Linked DNA regions of Danio rerio. The protein of the gene in region 1 interacts with the protein of each later gene in a pairwise test. Links are inferred from orthologs where the notes say so. Each region holds a gene or a part of one and is shown on either strand. Other genes may lie near its edges.

Region 1 (12,743 bases):
TTGTTTTGTTTTCTGCATTAACATATTTAGACATTTGGACAGTTGACAAAATTGATTTTTAATACATGAATAATTCTAAAGAGTATAATTTATGTGAAATTTTCATTATTTGTAGCTGTAAATATTTTCTGTCACTTTTGATCAGATGTATCAAGTAAGTAAGAGTATTTATTTCTTTGAAAATAAAATAATTGTAATGGAAACATTTGGAATATAGTGTGCCATTTTTATTGATTTAGTGTTTGATGTTGAGCTACTGTATAACTATGTGGGACTACAGTATGTCATCAATTATCAACATTAACAATGAAAACTAATGTTAATAAGTCAGCAAATTCAAGCTGAGCTTTATGCAATGCTTTCACTGTAATGCGCACCTTTTTTTATTTTTATTGTAAATATGCACAAACTTAGTACAAGAACATACGTCTCACAACAATTATGAACGGATAAAACAAAAAATAAAAATGAGAGAAATTATATACAATCAAAGTACAAACAGATGACAGAGGTAAAAAATAATATATATATATATATATATATATTATTTAATCAAATAAAATTTACATAATTCTTCGTATGTTTTTTAGCTTTTCTGTTTCTAATGTAGGCGACGCAGTGGCGCAGTCGGTAGTGCTGTCGCCTCACAGCAGGAAGGTCGCTGGTTCGATCCTCGGCTGCGTGGGTTTTCTCTGGGTGGTCCGATTTCCCCCACAGTCCAAAAACATGCAGTACAAGTGAATTGGGTTAGCTATGTGTGTATGAGTGTGTGTGTGAATATGTGTGTGCACTCAAAAAAATGAACTTTCCCTATTGTTAGTTTTACTAAACCCATCCTTGTTCACATTACATAAAACATAATAGTAATTAAATTAACATAAGTTTACCATGTTATTTCTACAAAAATGTAATACTGTAGGCTTTACTTAATAAGGGTTTGACAGGCCAACTTAACATTGTTGAGTAAAACGCAAAAACCTCTTAAGATTGGATATTTGCTGATACCGTCGCTGCCTACCTGGAGGCGGAGCAACGGAACAGTCAGAGAGAGGAACATGTGAAGCACATGAGGAGGAGAAGATGGTGGCTTTGTCAGGTATGAGTTTTTCATTAATCTTTAGTGTTAAATATCACCAGGAAAAGTGATGTGAGTGTTCACAGAATTATGTTAATTTATTATATCAGTGTATTATGGAGTCTTTTGAATTTTAGCATTTTTAGCCTGTTATACTGACTCGTGTTTCTCAAGGAAAGCATGTGGCAGTGCAAAGACTGCAAAATAACCATCACAACTAGATCACAGTTGTTGAAACACTATAGATTAGTGCATAGACATTGTGGTCGCGGTATTCGTTTTTCATGCACTTATTCTGAATGTCGCTGTAGATTTAAAACGTGGAGTGCACTACACAGCCATCTTAATTGTAGCCATGCAAAGGAGAACACGGGGTTACCTGCAAGTGTAATCACATTCAATTGCCATGTGTGTTCTTGCAGCCATATAGACTCAGAATGGGAGTATTTTAGTCATATCTATAAGAACCTGAAAACAATGAGACAGTACTTTGTATGAAAGCTATTCTTACTATAATCCTGTGTCTTAAATTTACAGATTGCTGCTGAATTCAGTCGAATCACTACTGTCCCACTAATTCAAACATTTTTCAAAACTGGATGGTTACACCAGCAAGCTGGACAGCATTTACCGTACAAAAGAAGAAATTGCAAAACGAAAAATTTGAAAACTCATGGCTACCATCGACAAGGTTTGTTATCTGTATTTATGATGCTTGTAAATAATTTCCACTTTAGTATGGTGTTTTTTTCATTGTATAAACCTAATGTCTCTTCTACAGAATGATGCCATCTCAACTTGGAGAGCTTGCATTCTCAGAGCACTTTCTGTGTATCTTAATGAAGACTATTAAAACCTCATGAAGGAGTATACAGTAAGTATAGTTCTCAGTCAGTTAATATTTAAAATGCCATCACATGAATTCACATAATATAGTCAAGGAATATCAATACACAAAGTATATTTACCTTGGGGTTGTCAAAAGAACAGACTTCAGCACCAGTCTGCACTGAAATAAAAGATTGTTATGATGCTAGCATTTTTCTGGGGAAATCTTGAGCACAGTCGAGCAGATTCTCAAGCATATTTGTCTAGGCAGATTAAGGTGGCAATTATCAGTGTTGCCAATCACAGTCACATCTGTTGAGCACAATAACACTGGCCAATTGAATTTCTTTGAAGGAATGATGATTTCTGCACATTTTTTAAAATTCAGTACAGAAGCCTGTACTTTTGACCACCCTAACAAACACAGTAAAGTAGTTTTGTAAGTCACTGCAGGTGCGTGATGTGAAAGATTAAGGAATGGACAGTTGATACAAAATTCTTTAAATTTACAATCTGTATTTTTGATGTAATTAAACTGAACAGTGATACTGTTTTTGTGTTTTGTAGGTGACAGACTTTGAGAGAGACATGGCAAATACTGTCATTAAAATCTACATCGTTAAGCCTGAAGGTTTAGAAGTCTGTGACCCACCATCATTTGCTGGACTGATTTTTGAGGGAGTAAAAGTGCTTCAGAACCTTGGCGATGTCACCAAGGCTTGTTCTCTTTCTTTGAGAGTCAAATACAGCGTGAATCTCAGTTATCCTTCAGACCTGAAATACACTTTTGAGTTTTTCAGAAAGTGTTGCTGGGACTTGCACATAAACTGTCACACAAAATACAAGTTCTCAAAAACAAACTTGTTGGCTGAATCAGTACATCATTCTGGACGAATGAAAGAAATAGAGGAAGAAGCTTTTTTGAGACACTTAAATTGTTTCTAGTTTTAAAATTAAGGGCCAATTTTAAAGTTATCTATAACGATGGCACCAAAGTTTTAAATGGAGTTCTACATCTTTAAATGGTTATAATTGTTTGATTATTTACAAAGATTCAGATTTTCAGTTTTATTCTTTTCTTTGCTTTTTTTAAATTCTTATGCTGCTTGTCTTAAACTTTCCTTTTCTTGTTCAAAGTAAAATTTATTACTTGCAGTTGCACATATTGAAAGAACATTTTGGTCAATAGTAAAACTTCTTTTATAATTTTTTTTATGTTTATTTTTTTTAAACAAGCTGTTGTTTTGTGGTGGTTTTCATAAATAAAGGTCAGTTGTATACTTTAACAATATATTAAACCTTTTGAAATATCAGCAATTGAGCATTGTAGCATTTTGTGACACTGGAAAAAAATGTCAAATTACTTTTGTAAATTTGCTCTTATACATTTTTCTTCCAATATTTGAAGTAGCACATTGTAAGAATGTTCACTATTGACCAAATGTTGCTTTTGCATTTTTTTCTTTCTTTTTGTACTTTTATTTGAACTGTTTGAGAATGTTTACAAAAATAGAGGCCAGTTTTAATGTTACTCTCACTGTTGATTGTAAAGATCAGAAATGAATTTTAGCAGTATTTTAACATTCCATGTACAATATTTTTCAAAGTAAGATTATTTCAGATTCTTAAAGCCAGTTGCACTTTAAAAGACCCTGTAAATGTTAACTGAAAGCATCTGATGTTTTAGTGTGTTTGTTTCAAAGGAAATTGAAATTGTTTTATGGGTTTTTAGCAGTTGTATGTTGCAAAACATTGCAAAGAAAATAAATTCATTTTGTTTCTAAAAATATGTTTGATTATTTAAGTTTTACACTTGTAGAGCACATACATTAGAAGTGAAATATATATATATATATATATATATATATATATATATATATATATAAATAAAGTGTTCACCTTACATACTAAAAGTTCATAATTCTAACATAACATTACTAAGTAAAATATACATAAAACTAAAATGCAATAATGACACATCTAAATGGGTTGAATGTACTAAGAAATATTTTGTAAACTTTACCTGGATTTCTTTAGTTCATTTAACTATATTGTTACTTGTTGAAACTACTCAACACAGTTACGTGGAACCACTTGACACTCTTTTTTTATGTAAGTCCAACAAATCATTTTTTTGAGTGTGGAAGTTCCCCAGAAATGGGTTGCAACTGGTGCAAAAAAGTGCTGGATAAGTTGGTTGTGGCAATCCCGGATTAATAAAGGGATTAAGCAGACAAGAAAATGAATGAATGAATGTTTCTAACGTGTAGTACCATATTGTTTTAATGCGCACACCTAACACAACCCATAACCCTCACAGTGACGTCACTAGCTCTATTGAGTGCATTGTGTCTGAGACTGCATGTCTGAAACTACGTGTCTAAACGGGCATATCCAAGACTGTATCCAGATACTATTGGGAAAATAATTGATTCGACTTTTGTTCAAGTTTCAGATGTTTACTGTGTTCTCTTGCACAATAAACAGAGAAAGTAAATTTCCCCCCAAAAAACCCTCATTCATTCATTTTCTTTTTGGCTTAGTCCCTTTATTAATCTGGGGTCGCCACAGCTGAATGAAACGCCAACTTATCCAGCATATGTTTCACGCAATGGATGCCCTTCCAGCTGCAACCAATCAATGGGAAACATCTATACAAACTCATTCACACACATACACCTGGGACAATTTTAGCTTACCCAATTCACCTTTCCCAATTTGGTCTTGTGGGGGAAACCGGAGCATCCAGGAAACATGCGAACAAGGGGAGGAGAACATGCAAACTCCACACAAAACTTTCAACTCACAACACATGAACTAAACATACAGTAGGTCTATGTATATTGTAATGTGTTGTAGGCTACATGTATAGACTACTCTATAGATAAACTATAGACTTATGTTTCAATTTATATCTCTTATTTATTCATATATTGGTGAAATCTGTGATATTTCAAAAGAACAATATAATCCTTTTTAGATTCTTTAGTCTATTTCACTAATATATAGGCCAATATATATATATATATATATATATATATATATATATATATATATATATATATATATATATATATATATTCATTGTGGAATTAGTTAATGTTGATAATGAAATGTTTTTATCATGCTGAAGAACAGAGGACAATCAAACAAATCAGAAACACAACCAAAAGAGGGCGCTATGCTGTTCCTTAGATCAGTTCTGGTGCATTACCCTACTGCTGCCCCATCAACTCATGTGTGTCCCTGGAGGGTTTTTGTATACTTGAAATTAATGATTTTTATTTTATGTATTATTTTTCTTTTTATTTGATTTATTTATTTCTCTCTCTTTCTCTAGAATATATAAAATAAATTAAATAAGCAGAACAAACTGATAATAAACATGAAGATTTTAAAACAAGATATTATTTAATTCTTTTTGCATTTGTCTTGTACATAGTAGATAAATAATTAGGTAATAACTAAGTGTAATGTAAATGTCTGCTCTATAAATTGTGTAATTTTTTCCATGTTTTAACAAACCAACAAATTAATGAAAGAAAGAAAGAAAAAAACATATAAGATAGAGATAATAAAACTGAAGCAAAAGAAAGGTGAATAAACCAGTTTATAGTAGCAACATATAAATATTCACTAATATATTCATTTAAATATTCCAAAAAATGTATTTAAGAATAACATTTTTAACAAATATTTTAAGTTATTTAAAGCTATGTTAATTTTTAATATTTAGAGCAGGACTTTCCCGCCCAACTTTTAGATGCCACAAACATTTTAATATCATTGCCCCCACATTAAAACATAAACATTTTTGTTAAAAAAAATTAAGGAAGTTACCTGAAGTTAATGTTTTGAAAACTGAAATTTTTTATTATTATATTCTTATTTGTTTTATTTTATTTTGATATATAATTTATTGTTTTATTTTATTTAAATAAAATATAATAATGTATTGTATGCTATTAAATATTTAATAATCGTTTAATTATTATGCTGTTTTATCAATTTGTTTCTGTTTCTCTTTTATTTTGTATTATAATGTGTGCTTATTATTTAAAAACTATATAGAATTATTTTAATCTTTTTAATTATTCAATTGCTATTTTTAATTATTAAAATCAAAATATTTTAATAGGTATATCACTCTCTTTTGTCCCTGGTAACCCATTCTGAAAGTTTGGCGCTAAATGAATGTTCGAAATGTTGGACTTTTCTCATAGATATTTATATAGCTATGGACTTTTATTATGAATTATCCTCTATGCTTTTTCCTGTTTAGGTCATCGTCAGTCCACTTTACGGCACGCTGTTTTCACTTTGCTGCATGCCTTTAAATACCTTCTAGTGTATTTGCTTGAATAATTGAGTTTATCTCAGATATACTCATTTCTTGTAATTTATACGATTAAAACATGAAAAATGCATTGTCAAATTTAATATAACACCATATCCGGCTTTTTAACCTTGACTGAATGGCTTATCACGCCTAAACTGTGGCATCAATACAAATACAAATTTACACACATAACGTTTAAAATATGCTACGAAATATATGTCGGTATCACACAAAGTTTGGCCAGGCAATTATTTGGCCGTTTTCATTTTCTTACGTGAAGCATGTTCCCAGTTTATCAACACAGCTACAAAAGGCAAAATATAGCAGTGCTACAGCAGGTAAGATATAAAAAGAAAAAAATAACTTAAAATGATAAACAAATATATTAATATCTTTGTACTTGCATTGTGTTTTGCAGAGAGGAAAAAGTTCTACGAGACTGTATCTATAACTCAAGGTGAAGGTGAGCATCATTCAGTACTGATGGCCATAACAGCACCTTAAAAGAAACATGTTTTCAATGATGAAGATCGAGGGTTTGCTCATATGAAAACACAGATTTTCTTGTTTATAGGTGGCTTGTTTGAAATAAACCTTGATAAGAGAAAGCTGAAGACCCCAAGTGGAAAACTATTCACAGTTCCCAATGAAGCTCTTGCCATTGCTGTTGCAAATGAGTGGGACGTTCAAAAGGACACATTGAAGTTTTACACTATGCACTTGGTAGGATATTATTTTTAATTTATATTATATTATTATTATTATACTATATTTTGGTTTCCCAAGTACTACTAGTATATTTGAAAGTTTTATTCTACAACTGTCTACAGAGTACATTCAAATGTATCTATAATACATACATAGTAGCATGGAACACATATTTTTATACACTCTTCAGAACTGAAACTTACAGTATTACAAGTCTACAAGACTAGTACCTTTATTTATACCCAAAATCTGTACTTTTTTGGTGTTTTTTCTTTTTAATTTTCTGCTGCAGACGATTCCATTCAAGAACCCCCTAAAAAGTACAGATTTTAGGTATAAATAAAACTGAAAGCTTAGTTTTTTTTTAAATTCTATTTTAATCATTTAAAAATTCTATTCAGTTAAAGGGGTAGTTCAGCCAAAAATTATAATTTGGTCAACAACAATACTCTGGGACTTTCTTTCATCTTTGGAACACAGATTAAGATATTTTAGATGGAATCTGAGAGCTCACTCACCCTTCATATAGACAGCAATGTACTTTTGTGCACACTTAAAGAAAAAATACTTACTTCATTCAGCGGTTTATCACCTCATTAGTAGGCCCACACGGAATATGCGTGTACAGAAATCTGCAGATTTCCGCAGATCTTTAGCCCATCATTCGGTGTATTTACTGTATTCACTTGTTTAATTGTGTGTGAATTTATATTTATTTAGTTTTTTTTTTTTTATTAATTTCACTAATATTATTGTGTTATAATAATAGTACTATTAAAATGTTCATATGATTTATTAACAATACAGTTAGTAATGTAATATTTTCTGTCTTTTTGTAGGTATATGATGTATTGCTTTCTTTACCAAATAGGTGGATGCAATTGGATTTGCACTGTAAACATTAAATAAAATTAAAAAATGTGTTGTTTTTTATTTAATATATTAATGCTGTAGTTATGATACTCCTAAAATCAATCTCTGCAGAAATTGCAAAAAATGTCTGCATATTGTGTCTTTTCCTATTCATTCATCTATGTTTCCATCCACCTATTTTTATGGTAATTTTGCAATATGCGCATAGAAAACCGGTTGATGAAAACGCCAAGATGCACATTTCATTTTGAAAAAGCTTAATGTGACTTTTCATTTTCATAAGGTTCCTTTTACAGCATCGATGTTTTACACTATCGATGCATTGATGACAAAACATTCAGTTAAATAGATACAAGCATTCATTTAGTTGTTCAACCATAAAACAAGATGAAAGATTGTGTAACCGCTAGCGCCATCAGGATCAGCAGGCGAGCGCAGAAACTCCTATACTGGGGTGAAATTAATTGTTATATTTTAAAGATATGACGGGGGAATAGAATTTAACGCAGTGCTTTTTGTCTGAGACTCATATATCTATATCTATCAGGCAGTGAAGGTCACTGATTAAAAAACAAACAAAAAAACTGACCTCAAACATGGCAACTTTATAATGGAAAGACGGAGGCCCTGTTAGGCTGAAATTAAAAGATTGTGTGCATATACCCCATTCTAAATAGTTATCGGTTATTGTTGTCGGTCAAAAATTCCAAATCGGTTCCACCCTATTAATAACATAATTTTCATTTTGGGGTGAACTGACCTTTTATGTAGTTAAAGATATTTGCATTTGCTCCTAGTTTTTTTTATTTATTTATCTATTTTTTATATGTTATTATTTGCATGTGTCTTTTTTCTTCACCTGGTTGTCATTTTAGATGAGAATTGGTTCTCTTAATTGATTTACCTGGTTAAATAAAGATATTTATTATTAAATACTAATGGATAATGTATCTAAAACATTGTCACAAGTACATATAAAATCAGTGTGTGTATATTCTGATAGTACATTCATTCCCAGTATTCCCAACATTCATAATGTTAAATGAATAGCAGAATCTAATAGACTGATTTCTGTCCCTACAGACCACCCTTTGTAACACTGCTCTTGATAATCCAACACAAAGGACAAAAGAACAGATGATCTCTGCCGCTCTGAAGTTTTTAGAAACAGACACTATCTGGTATGCTCACTGATTAGGTATAGTATTTCATTTATGCATCAGCTGATGGTTTTAAGGTTTCATTACATCAATTGTACCTCGCTTTGCAGTTACAGAGTAGAAGAACCTCCAGGCCTTGTGGAACTTCAGACAAATGAATGGGACCCTGTGATGAACTGGATTGAACAAAGGTAAAATTGACAGATTTTTGGTCAGAGTTTTGATTGTGTAATAATTACAAAAAGTTACAATTTACTGGTATATAAGAACGTACTGTTGTTTTTAGGTACAATGTAGTCATTGGCTCGTCCTCCAATATAATGGGCCCTCAAATCCCAGAAGAGACTAAAGAGACATTTCATCAGCACCTTAATTCCTTCAACTTCTGGTCTCTGACAGGTACGTTGGTTCTTTGTATCTCATGTAAATGAGCTTGTTTACAATAGACTTTGTGTAAATCTTATGTGAATGTGCTTGATTTTTCCTCAGGGCTTGAGTTTGTGATCAATCAGCTGAAGTCGCTGGTTTTGTCCTTTGCGCTGATTGACAGACACCTAAATGTGGAAGAAGCGGTTCTGTTGTCCAGACTTGAGGAAGAATACCAGGTATTTTGATTAAATTACTTTTAAGATTGAGACCATATTGTTCCTGTGGTAATAATTACTATACATTGTGTTCTGTCTTAGATTCGGAGCTGGGGAAATGTGGAGTGGGTCCATGATTATGACATGTATGAGCTGCGAGCGCGAACGGCGGCTGGTGCATTGTTTGTGCATCTGTCATCTGAAAAAACATCTGTGAAGAAAAAAATCTTACAAGACTGATAATGCCAAAAATAGACTGTGTGGGTCTGAAACTTTGGGAATTGTTATCTGTTTTTGTTTTTACAGTGACACTAGTTATCTAACCAGTAGTTATGTTTTGAGAAATAATACAGATTTCTAAGGTCATGATATGTATTTATAGTGTCAACAGCTATCACATGGAAACACTGTAAATGCTAAAACCCAGTATTTCAAACTCAATTTCAAAGATGTAAATGTTTAAGCTGTATGTTGGGGAAAAGAAAGAAACATTTTAATAAATTACAAAGTACAAACATCTAATTGTGTCTACGACTTTTTTCCTACACAGTTACAAAATGAAATAGTCCTCCCAAAAATAGAGTGACCAGGCATTTCTTTTTATTCCTGAGATAGTACTAGATTTCTGCTCCATTTCTAGTTTTCCAATAAAAAAAAAAGATAAAAATTGTGCCTCATTTAACATTTCCGAAAATGGCCAATTGCTGAGCACTAGTAAAGTTGTCTGTCACATAAAAAATAACATAAATCAATTGCAGCCAAACATGTCATAGTTTATTTCACAATTCTGTATTGAAGAATGTGTAGTTAGTCAAGACAGGGCCTGTGCTGTCAGGCTAGTTCTGGTGTCTGTGATTTACTATAGTTAAAGCAATTTAAAAACCTGAATGAACAAATAATCTCAAATAAACCTCAATTAATCTGTAAAACATTTTTTAAATAAACTGATGCCTCACCCATTACATTTAACTTACGAAAGTAAGTCAGAATGTATTCAAAACACATTAGCTAGCAGGGACAAGATTCATACAGTTCCCATTCAGCATTCCACTCTGAGAAATCTGGTAAAACTGGCCACAAGTAATACAAAAAAAAAAAAAAAAAAGTAAATTGTATTCCACCTCAGGCCATTAGATTTATAGCTTTGTTTTCTTCAGTACAAAAATTTTCAGCTAAAACCGGTGATTTATAACAAGCAAGTTAATAGTTACAAACACTGATCGTCCAAAAAAAAAAAAAAAAAAAAAATATATATATATATATATATATATATATTTATATATGTATATATACAGTATGTATGCAAAACCAGTGTTGGAGAAATTTACTTTAGAAAGTAATGCATTACAATATTGAGTAATGAATAAAAAGTAACTAGTTGTGTTACCTTTTATGTTAATACGTTACATTACATTTAAGCAATTTTTGCGTTACTTTTTATTACCTGGCTGAGGCTTGATCTCTTTCAGAACATGTTTGTTTCTTTCTTACAGCTACATTTACCTCTAAAAATGTTCACATAAAAATATTTTTAAATAGCTTTATCACACAGAGCTCTATTCACTTTATCAAATTAAATAAGTGTAGTTAACTCAAAATTTCAGTTAGTTATTTTTACTCATTTGAAGAGTTTTGAACTCAGTGTTGAAGGTAATAAGTTAATTAAATACTTAAACTTAGAGTAAGTTCACAGTACTCATACGGATTTTTTTTTTTCTAATATAATTTTTTCTATTTTTTTTTTTTTACTTAAATGCTTTGTTGCAATCGGTTTCCTCAAACGGTTTGAGTTGACTTAATTTATTGAGTTTTACAGTACTCAGTTGGTTTGAGTCTTTTAGTCAAATGGATTAAGTTCACAGTACTCATTTGGCTTAGTTTTTTAACTCAAATGGTTTGTAGTAAGGAGGCGCAATGTTTATGAAAAAGGGGGGGGGGGGGGTTAAAGAGCTATTTAAATGAATTAAAAAGTATCTCAAATGTTCTTACTTTTTTAGTAATGCCTTACTTTACTCGTTATTAAGAAAAGTAATATTATTACGTAACTCACGCTACATGTGCATTACCCCCAATATGGTCTAAACTAAATTGATGCCTGTGGCTCCTGATTAAACTTTGAGGTTTTATAAAGTGGTGTTATAACTACTGAACTACAAAGGACCAAAAAATTGCTTAAAATCTTTAATACCCAGCTAAAAAAAACACATCTTGAATGGTTTGAGAATGAGTAAAACCAGACATTTTCATTTTGGCCGAGCTCTCCCTTTAAGATCAAAGTCACATTAAAACATCGGTTGACCTAAGTGCATAGTCTGAAATACAATCTAATCCATAACGTAAACACCGTATGTGCCATAAAATATCAAACGTACCTGTGATAATCAAGCAAAGTCACGTAAACGGAATCACTACTGTTCCTTTAATTAGCTGGCGTGTCATTCCAATGACATACTGTGTGTTCGGCCAATACCTGCGCTGTCCTGAATTAAGCGACCAATGAGGATCGTCCGGGGGCGGGACTTTTGTGTTTACCGTCTCATTGAGTGTTAGTCGATGGGTATGTTGACAAGATGGAGTTCTTGCTGGGAAACCCATATAGTACTCCGGTGGGACACTGCATTGGTATGTTTATCAGATATTAAATCATACATCAAAATTGTGCTGTTGCAAGTAAGCTCCTGCAGAAATGTATTTTGTTGAGGGCACTTCAAAGCAAAGCTCAACATGGATAGCCAGTCAGTTAGCTAGCTAACGGCTAATGCTCATTCATGCTAACTGCTCTAACAGATAACTCTCAATGTGTTTTTTAACAAAGCAAATGGCTAAATTATTCAACGCGATTCTAGCTAGGTAAAAAAGCTGAGTTTAAGAAAGATGAAGAACTACTCTTAATTAGCAGCTGGAATTAGCCTGCTAGCAAGTGTACACTGCGATTATTTCTCACACCCAGTTTCATAGCTAAAGCCTGAAGTAATCTGTGTAAATGATTCATACTGTTGTTATAAATGGCCAGTCTGTATAGGGAAAATGACTGCAAGCAATGGAGGAGAACCAACATCACGTATTAGACAGGAGTTTGCAGTTCAGTGCGATGTCATCAGTGCCGATGTCACTCCAGATTCTGCTGGGCAGTAACCTTATCAGTTTACCTTTTGCTCTTCCCTAGAAAGGGCCAC
Region 2 (12,621 bases), on another chromosome or scaffold:
GTGCCCAAACTTTTTCGTATGAAGGGCCAATAACCAAATATCATTGATAGCCGTGGGCCGAAGATAACCATACCAAACTATTTTACATCAAAATTACCATTGTTAATTTCTTAACTAGTTTAATAATATTAAAAAAATAAAAAGAAAACATTTCTTTAAATCATATTAACAAATGCAGCATCACTTTTTAAAATAATAAGTTATTGCAATAAAAACATAAACAATCACATTTATAACACAGTGGAGTTCAATGCTGAATACACTAGTCAAGCAGAAGCTGCCTTTGATTTGATTTGCACACCAAAGTCTGCATTGTCCTCTATCCATCGTATGTACATTTTAAATGGATTCCACGTACAACGGGTTAAATGGCTGATGCAATTTTATTAGACAGAAGAGTTAAGAGAATCAGTTAATGTGTGATATCTGCATAAACTCGAGCCATGTCGATAGATGACAGTGCAGTTTCTAACAACACGAAGAACAGCTCTGCTAATGTTAGCCAACTACTGAATAAATATGTACCTTTAACACACTGTGGCCTCAGGCACAGCAAAATATTCCGCTTTTATGTTTTTATTTAAATAATTTACTTATTTTGCCCACAAAATTTTACATTCAAAATTGTAAATTTACTAATAAGAAAGCGAATTTTAGGGAACCGATGACTGAATTATGTTTATATATTAGTAGTATCAGAGAAAGCCCTATGCACATTAAAACTTTGTAAATTCTACAATGTATTTATTAGATTATTACATATGTACATTCTGTATATTTGTATTTGATTTATACTTACCCCCTGGCATTTAGATTTTTCAAACTGTTAAATGTTATAAGAAGAAAAAGAAAATTTGTTTTAAAATCACGTGACTATCGTCTTCGCGCTCATTGGCTGCAGCCCCTGAACACTGTTGTCTGATGACGTGCGGAGCGAAAATTAAACAATGGGCAGCGCGTTTTATCGCGTACAGGTAAACAGTACCTGTGCAGCCGAGAAAGCAGAAACGGTCGCAAGCCAGAAACACCAACAAAGACAAATATGAGCGTAAACATCGATTCAACGTACAACGGGTTAAATGGCTGATGCAATTTTATTAGACAGGTAAGTTAAGAGAATCAGTTAATGCGTGATATCTGCATAAACTCGAGCCACGTCGATAGATGGCAGTGCAGTTTCTAACAACACGAAGAACAGCTTTGCTAATGTTAGCCAACTACTGAATAAATATGTACCTTTAACACACTGTGGCCTCAGGCACAGCAAAACATTCCGCTTTTATCCCGTCTGTTTACATTAATGAGAGCTGGAGCCGTTTACTGCAGCTGCTCAAGAATGATCACTCGCAAATATTGCTGATACTACAGTAAAACAAGTATCACAACATGTTAGGTTTAACGTAGACTTGGTATCAAAGTGTGTGTATTCTCATTTGCTTTTACAGCCTGCGCGATGAGGCGTTATTTGCTGTATAATCGAACACAGGCCACGGATTCAATTGATGGAGCTTTAACCCAGCAATCCATAGTTCAAATGTTTTACCATTCCTGAACTGAAAAATCAGTTGCCTGTCTCAGTGTTTTGTTGTTCTCGCTTGCTCAGGGTCTGCTGCAAACTCGCGCAGCTCGACTCAGATGAATTCCTACTCAGATAGCGGATATCAGGAGGTGAGCGGTTACTACAGTAACACGGTGACGCCCAGGCGGTCTGAAGGGAGGTCACAGTCGACCAGCTCCGCCCCCAGCGGAAGCCCCACCCTCGCCATGAGCTCCAGGGCTGAAGGACAGGCCTCTGCACAGGTATGAAAACTCACTCAAACACCACTATATTAACGTTTCCTGGCGTGTTTGTTTTTTTCAGGGATCATTAGCACTGAATAATATATGTCCATTGTTATGAGCGATGTAGAATTGTATTCCGACTTGAGTTTTTCTGATGTACGTGACTCGCAAAGTTGTCTTGAACAGTCACTAAACAAACTGCAAAATCCTGCTTTTCAAATACTTCTCATCCACGGATTTCTTCCGACAGCCCGGGAGGATAAAGCGGCGCCCTCTAGCGAGTGTGCGCGTGGGACACTCCTGTATTTCAGAGAGGGTCTGAGATTTACTCGCTGAGCCGCTATTAAACGCGATATAATAATAATAATAATATGGAAAGATGTTATGAAACTGCCATTCTAACAGCAAAGTCTGAGCTTTAAGTACAGAAATAGGATGAGGCGTGGTATGTTTGGTGAAGCGCGGCGCAGTGTGTGTCTATATGCGGGGATCCGGTGTTTTCAGAGCGGATTTGGTCACAGCAAATGCTGCTCCATATGTACTCCTTCTCTGCAAACGCTGTGAGTTTGGGTCGCTTATAAAGTACAGTACAAACTACTTGGTTTGAAACGTAACGTTGTAACTATGTCAAATTTGTTATGAGAGTAGTTTTATCGAGAAGCATTAAGCACTTCCTGCTTTCCTCCAAAATAAAAGCTCAGTGTTAACTTTTGAAAGCAATAAGACGTGTAGAAAGCCATTCTTGTTATCATACCAAAACAATGCTTTGCCAAGAGATTTTACAAGAAGGTTTTAATATGCTTGCTGATGGTTTGTTATGTTTGGTTTATGGTGTGACAGACTAAAACTGTAACATTAAAGGGATAGTTCACCCAAAATCAAAAATTGACCCACTATTTACTAGCCCTCAGTTGGTTACAAACCTTTGAGTTTCTTTCTTCTGTGGAACACAGAAGATATTTTTTAAGAAAGCTGAAAACCTGCAACCATTGACATCCATTGTTGACAAAAAATAAATACTCTTGTAGCCAATGGTTACCGGTTTCCAACATTCTGCAAAATATCTTCTTTTGTATTCAAAATTGTCACAAGATTTTTTGGAACAAGTGGATAGTGTGTAAATAATGACAGAATGTTCGTTTTTGGTTGAACTATCCCTTTAATTTCACTATGAAAATAAATTAATTTGGCGTTTCTGTGTGGAATTTTCATGTTCTCCCTGCGTTCGCATGGGTTTCCCCCACAGTCCAAAGACCATGTGGTATAGGTGAATTAGGTAGGCTAAATTATCCGTAGTGTATGAGTGTGAATAAGTGTGTATGGATGTTTTCCAGAGATGGGTTGCAGCTGGAAGGGCATTCGCTGCTTAAATCATGTGCTGGATAAGCTGGTGGTTCATTCCGCTGTGGTGACCCCGGATTAATAAAAGAACTAAGCCGAAAATAAAATAAATGAATAAATTACTAAAAAAATTATTTGTTTCAGTTAGTTGTCAATATAATATTTATAGTTTTTTTTATTTGAACTTTGTTCAACCCTAACTAAAAAATAAAATTTCTTTCTCCTGATATAAAAAAAAATTCACTAAAACTCATTTTGTTGACATTATATAATATATAAGCTGAGGCCTGTCACAATAATCATTATATCGACTTTATTGCGCAATACTTGAATATCACCTCAATAATTATTGTCATTGCAATATATTTTTACAAATTCACAAATAATGTTAAAGCCATTTTACTATTACGTTTACGTTCTACCTTGCCAGTGTCAACATTTATAACTGGACATTTACCTTATAAGACATTTAATAGTATATATAATAGGACCTTAACCTTTTTAACATCAAATTCATTATCTTTTCAGCTTTGTATCTTTCTTAATCTGCGGGTGCCACAGCGGTATGAACCGCCAACTTATTCAGCATATGTTTTTTTACGCAGCGGATGCCCATCCAGCTGCAACTCATCACTAGGAAATAACGTCAAATTTTACAATCTAAATAACGTTAAGAATGATAAGTGTTTTAAAGTGTTTATGACTATATGCATTATTATATAGTCATTATACAATCATTGGCATAAAATGATCTCAACATGACAATAATATCGCTTATAGCAACAATTCCTGGGACAATATATTGCACAACAAAAATTCCTTATGACAGGTCTATCTATATAAGGCAACTTAAACTTACAGTAAGCTATATGTTTGTTTGACATTTATTAATCTTAGTTAACATTATTAAAGATGAAATTGCTTTAATTCACAATGCATTAGCCAAAATATTTATCTTTATTTTAATAATATATTGCAGAAGGCTTTTTATGAAGTCACTTAAAGACCTGTTTAAGTAAAGCATTGCCAGAAAATATCTGTATTATGGAAAATGTAATGGGATACACGTTTTGTTTGTTTTATTGTATTTATTATTTGTATTGTTCTGAATAGTGTTTGCATTGAAGTTGACTTGGCATTAAACAAAAGATCCAGTTTAATGTATTAGTAAATGCTGAAAAAATATGAACTAAAATGAGTAAGTGCTGTGGAAGTATTTTTTTATGCTTTTCACATTTAAATCAATAAAAACTATTTAAATGAACAGAAATATTTAAATAGCACAACAAAAATAAAAACAAATAAAACCTACAATAGTATCTCGGTTATACTAAAATAAAGCTTAAAAATCACTGAGTTGTCATTCATCTTATTGGCCCGGTATTAAGATTTAAATGAGTGTTATAAGTTTAAAGGGCCATTAAACTCTCCCTGTCTCAGCAGGGTGTTTTCACACCTAGTTTGAAAAAAATTAGGAAAGTGGGTGACTCCAGCTCTATTTAGGTGGGAGTGTCGAGTGGCAAAAGAGGGAAGGGTTTGCATAAAAATGGAAGTTTTCAGTTTGAGCAAGTGCTGATTTTTAAAACAACACACAGACGCAGGAGAGAAAGACAGTGACTGTTTACATGGACACCAGTAATCAAATTATTTGCCACATTCTTAATTTGTTGACTTTTACTGCAGTTTGACATTCAGGAACATTTCATGCATGCCCCCTGCGAAAAATGAGATGTTGGATGCAAGGAACTGCTGGAAGAATGTAGTTTTAATGGGATGTTTGATACCGCACGGCAAATGGGAGAAAAAAAACTTTCCGCATTTCTCGGTAACTTAGATGCACTCTGTAGGTAGCGTTAGAAATCTGTATGTGTATAGACTATCCTGTCACAAGATGCGGCGAAAATTCTACATGATGGAAATAGTTTGATTAAAGTGTTTACATGTTTACACTCAGAGAGCAGCAATTACAGTCTATGTTTCAGCCCATATTATTGTAGTGATATTACCGTACTGTAAACTTAGGGTGCTTTCACACCTGTGAATCGATTCAGTTGTTCCGAAACAGAGATTACAATTGTTACATTGTTGCTCTTTGCTCTTGGAGCGGTTCGCATTCACACTGCAAAGTTTCTAATCGGACCAAAAGAGCTAAAACAAGTCACGTGCGAGTAAACTCTCCTCCCATTGGTCAGAGTGTCAGGGTTTATTTTGCAGCGTCCCGCTCAGCTGTCAGGAGAGGTGGTGGTTTGGTGGTGATTGACAGGGTGCACGCGCGCGACGTGTCTGAGGAGAGACGCGGTGGGGAGGGGTTAGAAGGGTGCGTGACGATGCCTATTTGGGGACCGGGAGGGAGACGCAAGATTACCGGGAGATCATCACTTGTTTGCGGGCATCCGGAGACTCGCGAAACTTCCCGCCCTGCTCATAATTCTCTCTTCATATAGCCGTAAGCCTATTACATATCCATAAAACACTGTGATATAACCGCGATCGGATCGCTTTCTCACTGCAGTCGATCCGCTCCAGGGTTCGTTTCAATCGAGCCGAGACCACCTCATTCAAGCGATCTCGGAGCGATTACTTTGGCGCGGAACAGAGCGCGATTACCCTGTTCACATATGCCAAACGAACCACGCTAAATGGGCAAACGAGATACGTTCTGAAACAAAAGTGTAGGTGTGAAAGCACCCTTAGTAACTAAATCATTTTGACTATGGTATGTCTTTAAAAACTGAAAGAGTACTGCTGACAATACTACCTAACTTTGCCATCTGAATAAACATAAACAAAGAGCACTGATCTCACACTTACCAAATCTATAAAGAAAGGACAATCAAAACCAACTAGAACCGCGTCTTTTTTAAAAGGAAACGAGCGGTAATTCCTGATGTTTCCATTTCCAGATACGAAAAGCTCTCGGGTAAAAAAATATATTCCTTACAAACAGATTTCTGTTGCTTGTTAGCAGACCACTGTAATCCACACGTGAGTCCAGCTGTACTTTCTTAGCGGGTAAATGGAAACAAAACCTTTCTTGCAGCACATTTATAAACAACACTGATGACCCATGTCTCCAAACAATTCTTCTTCTTCCACTTGTTTTAATTATGGTTGGCAACACAATGTGGCGTCTCTCTGCCATCTGAACACTGTAACGGATAAAAACAGTCTTCAAAGCTATCATGCATAATAATAAAGGTGGACCTCATAGACAATAGAGTACACTGATTAGTGGTCTGGAAAGACTTGGAATTCTTTCTCATGAATTAATGCTTAAAGCTCAAAGACGTCATGTTGTACTGGCCGGTACAGACATCCAGTCTCCACGCTGGAATTTACACAAGGATCTAATCGTAACGTAGCTTAAAAAAATGTATTTTCAAAATGGAAGAACGAATTTGCTTGAAATAACGCGAAAACAACCAATTTTTACTTTTTAGTAAATTATATGTGTCCTAATAGTGTTTTTAGCAGCGTGGGACACATATATGACTGTAAACAGCTCAAAAAATGTTTGTTTTCTTTTTACCCTTAATAATGATATTAATTTAATAATATTATTACTATTATTATGTTAATTATATTGTTCAAATTATAAAGTTATTATTATAAATGTTTCTCTGTGATGTGTTTCTCAGGTGGGCAGCAGTGGGCGTGTCATGAGGCGGGTCAGCTCTGTTCCCTCTCGTGCTCCATCTCCACTCTACACACCGTCTCCACCTGCGTCCCGCCAGCCTCTGCGTACTTCTCTCGGAAGCCCCTATGGTTCACCCATAGTCTCAGAGCCTCGTCCTCTACCTAGCATATTTCCTGGCACCACCTTGCCTCCTGCTTCCAGCCACGCTCCTGACCCGCTCCACTCCAGCTACCTAGGGCGGCATGGAAACGGGACGGGGTCTGAGTCTGGGTCACCAACACTCCTGCGAGCTGGAATGACTGCTCAGCCTCAGCAGTATGGGACCCTGGGAAAGCACGATACACGTGCATATGAGAGCACTCACTCTTCTTTTGGCTCTCGAGCCTATGACATCTTTGAGAGGATGGTTCTTTCAAGACCGGACAGCCTTACAGGTGAGTTATACTCACACAACCTGTCATGATTTACAATTAGAGGTGTTTCTAAAGTACACATACACTACGTTTCAAAGGTTTGAGATCAGTAAGAATTTTTTAATTAATAAAAAAAAAAGGAATTGATTAAGAGTCATAGTGAATACTTTCACCTTGCTATGAAGATTTAAAATGCTGTTGGACATTTTATTTATCAAACTATTTAGCTCTGCATGATACTGGAATAATGTGCAGTGTTGTTTAGTGTTGCGATAACGATATTTCTTACGGTATAACATTTCCCTCAAAAAATCTTTTTCTTAGCCATGTTTTGAAATAATATATTTATTTAATGATATCAAAATAATCAAATTAATTCTAATTCAGACTAAAAAACGGTGTCAAGGTGCAATAATTTAAACCATGTCCACACTAATATGTTTTAGTTTAAAAACGCATATTTTTTCCTTCGTTTTGACCTTCCGTCCACACCGAGATGGTATTTTTAGGAAATGAAAACATGTTTTTAAAAACACAGTCCAAAGTGATCAAATTTAAAAATGGCATTTTTATATTGCAGTGTGGACCTTGAATAAGGAGGCTTTTGAAAACGATGACTCATTTTAGTCATGTAACCAATTCAGCTAACATAGTGGACGACATTGTAAAGCAGATGATTTGGATGCTGTCTGTTTTATTACAGCTTTATTAATGATTTATGTCAGTTTATACATGATTCATATTGCCTCTCTTCCAAGGACACAGAACATTTACTGGAGAGCTAATGTTAAGCTGTGAAAGCAGACGATAGTTACGAAAAGATTTAAAGAGACTGAAAGTAACTAAATGCCAGGTGTAAATGACGTAGCTAAAATTGTCTTACATCTGTGTGCATGCGCAGTACTGAATTAAAGCACTTTCAGTCCTTTTAGTGTGGATGATGGAAAGAATTTTAAATTTTAATGTGGACATGGAGTGTTTTTAGACAAAAACCGGTTTAGGTAGATGTAGCCTTAAGGGGGTCACACACCAGATGTGCCGCTTCATAGCACGCACATGACAGTTGGAAGTATCGCACACCAGATGCACACATTCGCATGTTATTTAAAGAAAAACTATTTAGTGTCCTGAGTCGTAGCTGGGTACCATAAACAGCCACCGACATGCGGCACTGGTGTGCGTACCCTGATATAAGTAACTATGGTTTACAATATACTGATGCTCTAATATTTTTGGCTTTACTGGTGATAATGGTCAGGAATGTTGAACCATTATTGCCTTTTTAGCATCAATATAGGACAGAAACTAGCCAATCATGTGTGAATTGTGAAGCAGATATAAAATATAAAAAAACATCTGTATTTTTTAGCAAGGGTACTTTTAGGGCTGGGCGATTTTTTCGAATAATTCGAATTTACGTTTTAAGACGATTTAATTTTTAATCAAATCGAGAAATCGCGATTTAAAAAAAAAACATATATATTTTATCCATTATAATGGCACTAATGCGCTTTGGTTCTCTCTCTGTATGAAGCAGGAAGCACACCAGAAGCGCCTCTCGGCGATGCGCCGCACAGCACCACGCCATGGATTTTAGAATTCTAAACAGGTTTCTGTACACACACCGGCGCCGCCCAGCCACGGTTCACGAAGCAGTTCTCATTTCAGCCGGCCCACAGAGCGCCATCTGATTAGTTTCATGTTAAATATCATGGGAATGTGCGCGTTTGGTGTGTGATAGTTTAAAATGTCATGTCCGCGCTGTGTCGTGGCGCTTCTGGTGTGCGACCTGCTTGACTGCCTGTTAAAGTGTGAATTCATGTAGGATTTTACTTGTTGCACGTCTGTGCGGATTGTCAAGACATATTCCCTCCTCAAGTCGATAAACTTGTTCTCAACATGTATGAAGGACGTAAAAGCCTGTGAAAAACCGCGCCGATCTTTTGTTTTGAACACGAGCAGAGGTGAGGGCCTGCAGCAGTGAAAATGAAAGTACCCGCCCCCATGACGTCATTTAGCGGACCTAGTTGAAAACCAGACAGATCAGGCAGCATAATACAGAGAGTGGAGCAAAGCGCATCAAATGATCAGTATTTAAAAGGGGGGAAAAAGAAAAATAGATTAAATATATTATTTTATATTAGACACACATCTGGTGCTTGTATTTGCTCCTACTATACGTCCACAACTTCACACATTGGGTTAAATTAGGCTTTACAGTTTCCATGTTCAGTCCTTTTCTTCCACTGTATCTTTTTAAGAAAAAGGCAGCAGCTTTACAACCTGACATTCAATCAGAAGAAGACAAAGTCAAAGCCGAGCCGACAGCCAATCTTTCCTAGGCTCAGCAAAACTTGCAAAAAATACCTCTGTATTCCTGCAACCGCAATATTTACACAAATATTTCTTATTCAAATCTTCTGCAACGATATTTAACTCGTGAGTTTGTTTTATTTTTTACACCTTGACCGATTTTTTTTTTGACATGCCCATTTAAAATACAATGTTCCTTAACCAGATGGTTTTTCAAGTTACTTTCAGTCATGTTGTTGTAATGTTTTGAGAAGACTAGTTACACAATAAAAAAAGTTACATAATAAAAAATAAAAAAAATCGAAATCGTGAATCGGTCAAACTTTATAAAAAACCTAGATTTTTTTTTTTTTGCTAAATCGCCCAGCCCTAGGTACTTTTAATCTTGCCATAATAAATATTTGTAGAGTAACCCATGTTCTCCTTTCATTAATATTTTAATAAACTTTAATTGGTAAAACTGTCCCAAATATACAACAATAGCAATTGATGCATTAAAAATTGATTTAAAAAATCTTGAATGGTTATAAAAAATTATTATAATCATTAAAATCATTTAAAAAAATATAACAAATAATTAGTTTCAAAATCTTGAGCAATATTAATGATATGACGTACTTCCGGAAACTTTCTACTTCTCTTTTTATCTTTCTGACTTTACGGTCAGCTTCTTTTGACCGCCCCCTGTCGTTTTAGGGCCTACTCACACTATGCCATCCGTACCGTGCCTAGGCCCGTTTCCCGGATCGTTTGAGAAGTGTGAGTGCGATGAATCGGGCTCAAGCTCGGTTCACAAGGCCGGCTCTGGCCCGGTTGGAAGAGGTGTGCCTAAGCGCGGTTCACTTGGGCTTTGGCGCGGTACGCTTGTGTGTGAGTGCAAAACGCGCCAAAGCCCGAAACTGAAAGCGAGAAGTGACTTTTAAGGGGCTGTTTCATATGGATTTATTATTCATTCTTACTGTTTAGTGAACGCAAACTGCCGTAGTTTTTTAAAGACGAGAACTCCTCACAGCACGACAGCTGCGCGGCTTCAGCAGACCTCCTCATTCCTGCAGCACGAGAGCTTTATGATTGTTTATGAGCGCCAAAAGTGGCGTATTTGTTCGGCGAAATATCTGACTGCGTGTCCCCGCATCCCTAAGGACTGTTTGGCGAAATATTTGACTGCATGTCACTGCATAACAAACGACTCAAACGATATAACTAGAGAAATCTCCACTGTGCTGCTGAGTGAGAGAGCGCTTCTCACTGAACAGCACAGCAGCGATGACGTAAGCGTGCCGAGGCCCGTTTGTGGTGTTAGCGCGGGCTGTCGAGGGAGACGGGAGGGGGGACAAGCGTGCTTTAGCCCAGTTCGAGGCAACTGTAACTAGTGTGAGTACGGCCTTAAAAAATTTCACAACGGTGAATGGAGCAAGTATAAAAGCATTGTCCGTTTCGGGAGGTGAGCACACAATCAGCAGAGGTGCGCAGAGGTGCCTGGCGGATGTATTAATCCAGCTTAAGTCTTTAAAACACTATGAATGAGTGAAAACCTCAGCAGATATTCTGACTCTGACTGGCTGTTGTCATTTTCCTCTCGTCTCGATTTCCGCCATCAGTGTTTATTTTTTCAGCTCTGGTTTCATCATTTGGGCAGCTCCAGCCAATAGAAAGAACATCGACTAATGAGGAGGTGGGGATAAAGATAGTAAGTCCCCATCTGATTGGTCAAATTTAGATAGATGACCAGTGCATAAAATAAATGTGATTTATCACACATGTGTGTGATACATATATTGCACATGCTATTATCACAATAACTAATATTTTCAGATATATTATGCAATCCTAAAACAAAGCTCAGTTTCTGTAGAAATATTGAGCAGGACATTCTATTACAACTGTGATTAAAAGAAATGTCTTTGAACATTTCGAAGGTTCATGTGACAGAAGATTGGCAGTTGAAAATTCGGTGTTGTTGTCACAGGGGTATTACATTTCACAGCATTACTGTATTTAAATTTTTGTAGTTAGCACAAATGTTGAAGTGAGCATAAGAGAATTCTTTCAATTATCTTAATGATCACAAACATCCGAACAGCACTTTATAAATCAATGATTTTTGTCAAATAGTTTTTCTCATTTATAAAACTTGATTCCATAAATCTTAAATCCATAAACCGATTTTCTCTTCCATCCTGACCAAGCCAGAACTATCAACTGAAATTTCTACACCACTCTTATAAAGTTATGGATTATGTATGTGCAAAACCTTCTTAGCTTTATATATGCATTAGATTATATAAGGTTTAGTAATGCTGTCACTTATCTCTCTCTCTCACTTTCTCCACTTGCTCTCTCTTTCTGTGAGCGTGTTTGGTTTGGATCATAAAGTCTTTCCATAGGGTTTTTCTTTCCTAAAACATTCCCCTCATGAGGTACGTTTTCAAAACATGGGAAAAGTGAAGAATTTACTAAGCGTCTCTCAGTTAAATCTACGCTCGTTCTGTATATTGTCTGTTAAAATCTCAATTATAAAAGCCACAGGAAGAAATCCTCAGATATCTTTCAACATAAATGAGACATAAACGCAGGGAGACTGGCGTAAATTGCCTTCATAAAAGCACAAGAAAGAATTTTAGTAATTGCTTCTACTCGAATCATGATAAACCTCCGATTAGGAGATTTGATGCGTGCATATGAGTTTGTGAATCAAAAGTGCTGTGATGCATTATTGTAGTATATTGTTTCAAAAATCGTATTACAGTCTCAATTCCATCTGCAATAAACATCCACATGAAACTGGAGCTGCATGGATATTGACTTGCAGTGTGTGTGTGTGGTTTGTGTGTGCACTTGACGTTATGCTTGTGCTTGTTTGCTCCAGTGTTTTGTAGGATTACGCTGATGATAATCTCCCATTCTGGCTCTGTGCGATACTTCTTCAGATGTGCCCCACTGCCCCATTTCTGCCATATTTCTCCACAGATTACACATGATGTAAAGCCTTTGAAAACGAAGCTTTTAACTCCAGGCCCTTCAGCAAGAACTACAGCTGAATTCGGAGACGTATGAAGCGATTAGAAATTTATGAAAGACAAACTCGCTGAATTCTGCATGGCTTTTCCAAGTTAGCGAGCAGTGCAATTTTGT

Evidence for each region.
Region 2: the proteins of atpaf2 (region 1) and pkp4 interact in binary tests that used the Homo sapiens proteins (3 or more experiments, as listed by UniProt). The two-hybrid records come from large-scale screens. The link is inferred for Danio rerio from reciprocal best matches to the Homo sapiens genes ATPAF2 and PKP4.

The regions. Positions count from the first base shown.
Region 1 is NC_133187.1:20,031,045-20,043,787, reverse strand, and holds atpaf2 (ATP synthase mitochondrial F1 complex assembly factor 2), read left to right. Parts: upstream 1-6,200; 5' UTR 6,201-6,444; coding exon 6,445-6,580; intron 6,581-6,660; coding exon 6,661-6,705; intron 6,706-6,816; coding exon 6,817-6,965; intron 6,966-8,906; coding exon 8,907-9,004; intron 9,005-9,093; coding exon 9,094-9,174; intron 9,175-9,269; coding exon 9,270-9,382; intron 9,383-9,472; coding exon 9,473-9,588; intron 9,589-9,669; coding exon 9,670-9,807; 3' UTR 9,808-10,089; downstream 10,090-12,743. UniProt on the Homo sapiens protein: Plays a role in the assembly of the F1 component of the mitochondrial ATP synthase (ATPase).
Region 2 is NC_133181.1:13,203,286-13,215,906, reverse strand, and holds part of pkp4 (plakophilin-4), read left to right. Parts: intron 1-916; exon of another isoform or gene 917-1,105; intron 1,106-1,603; coding exon 1,604-1,800; exon of another isoform or gene 1,801-2,306; coding exon of another isoform or gene 2,307-2,342; intron 2,343-6,761; coding exon 6,762-7,194; intron 7,195-12,621. UniProt on the Homo sapiens protein: Plays a role as a regulator of Rho activity during cytokinesis. May play a role in junctional plaques.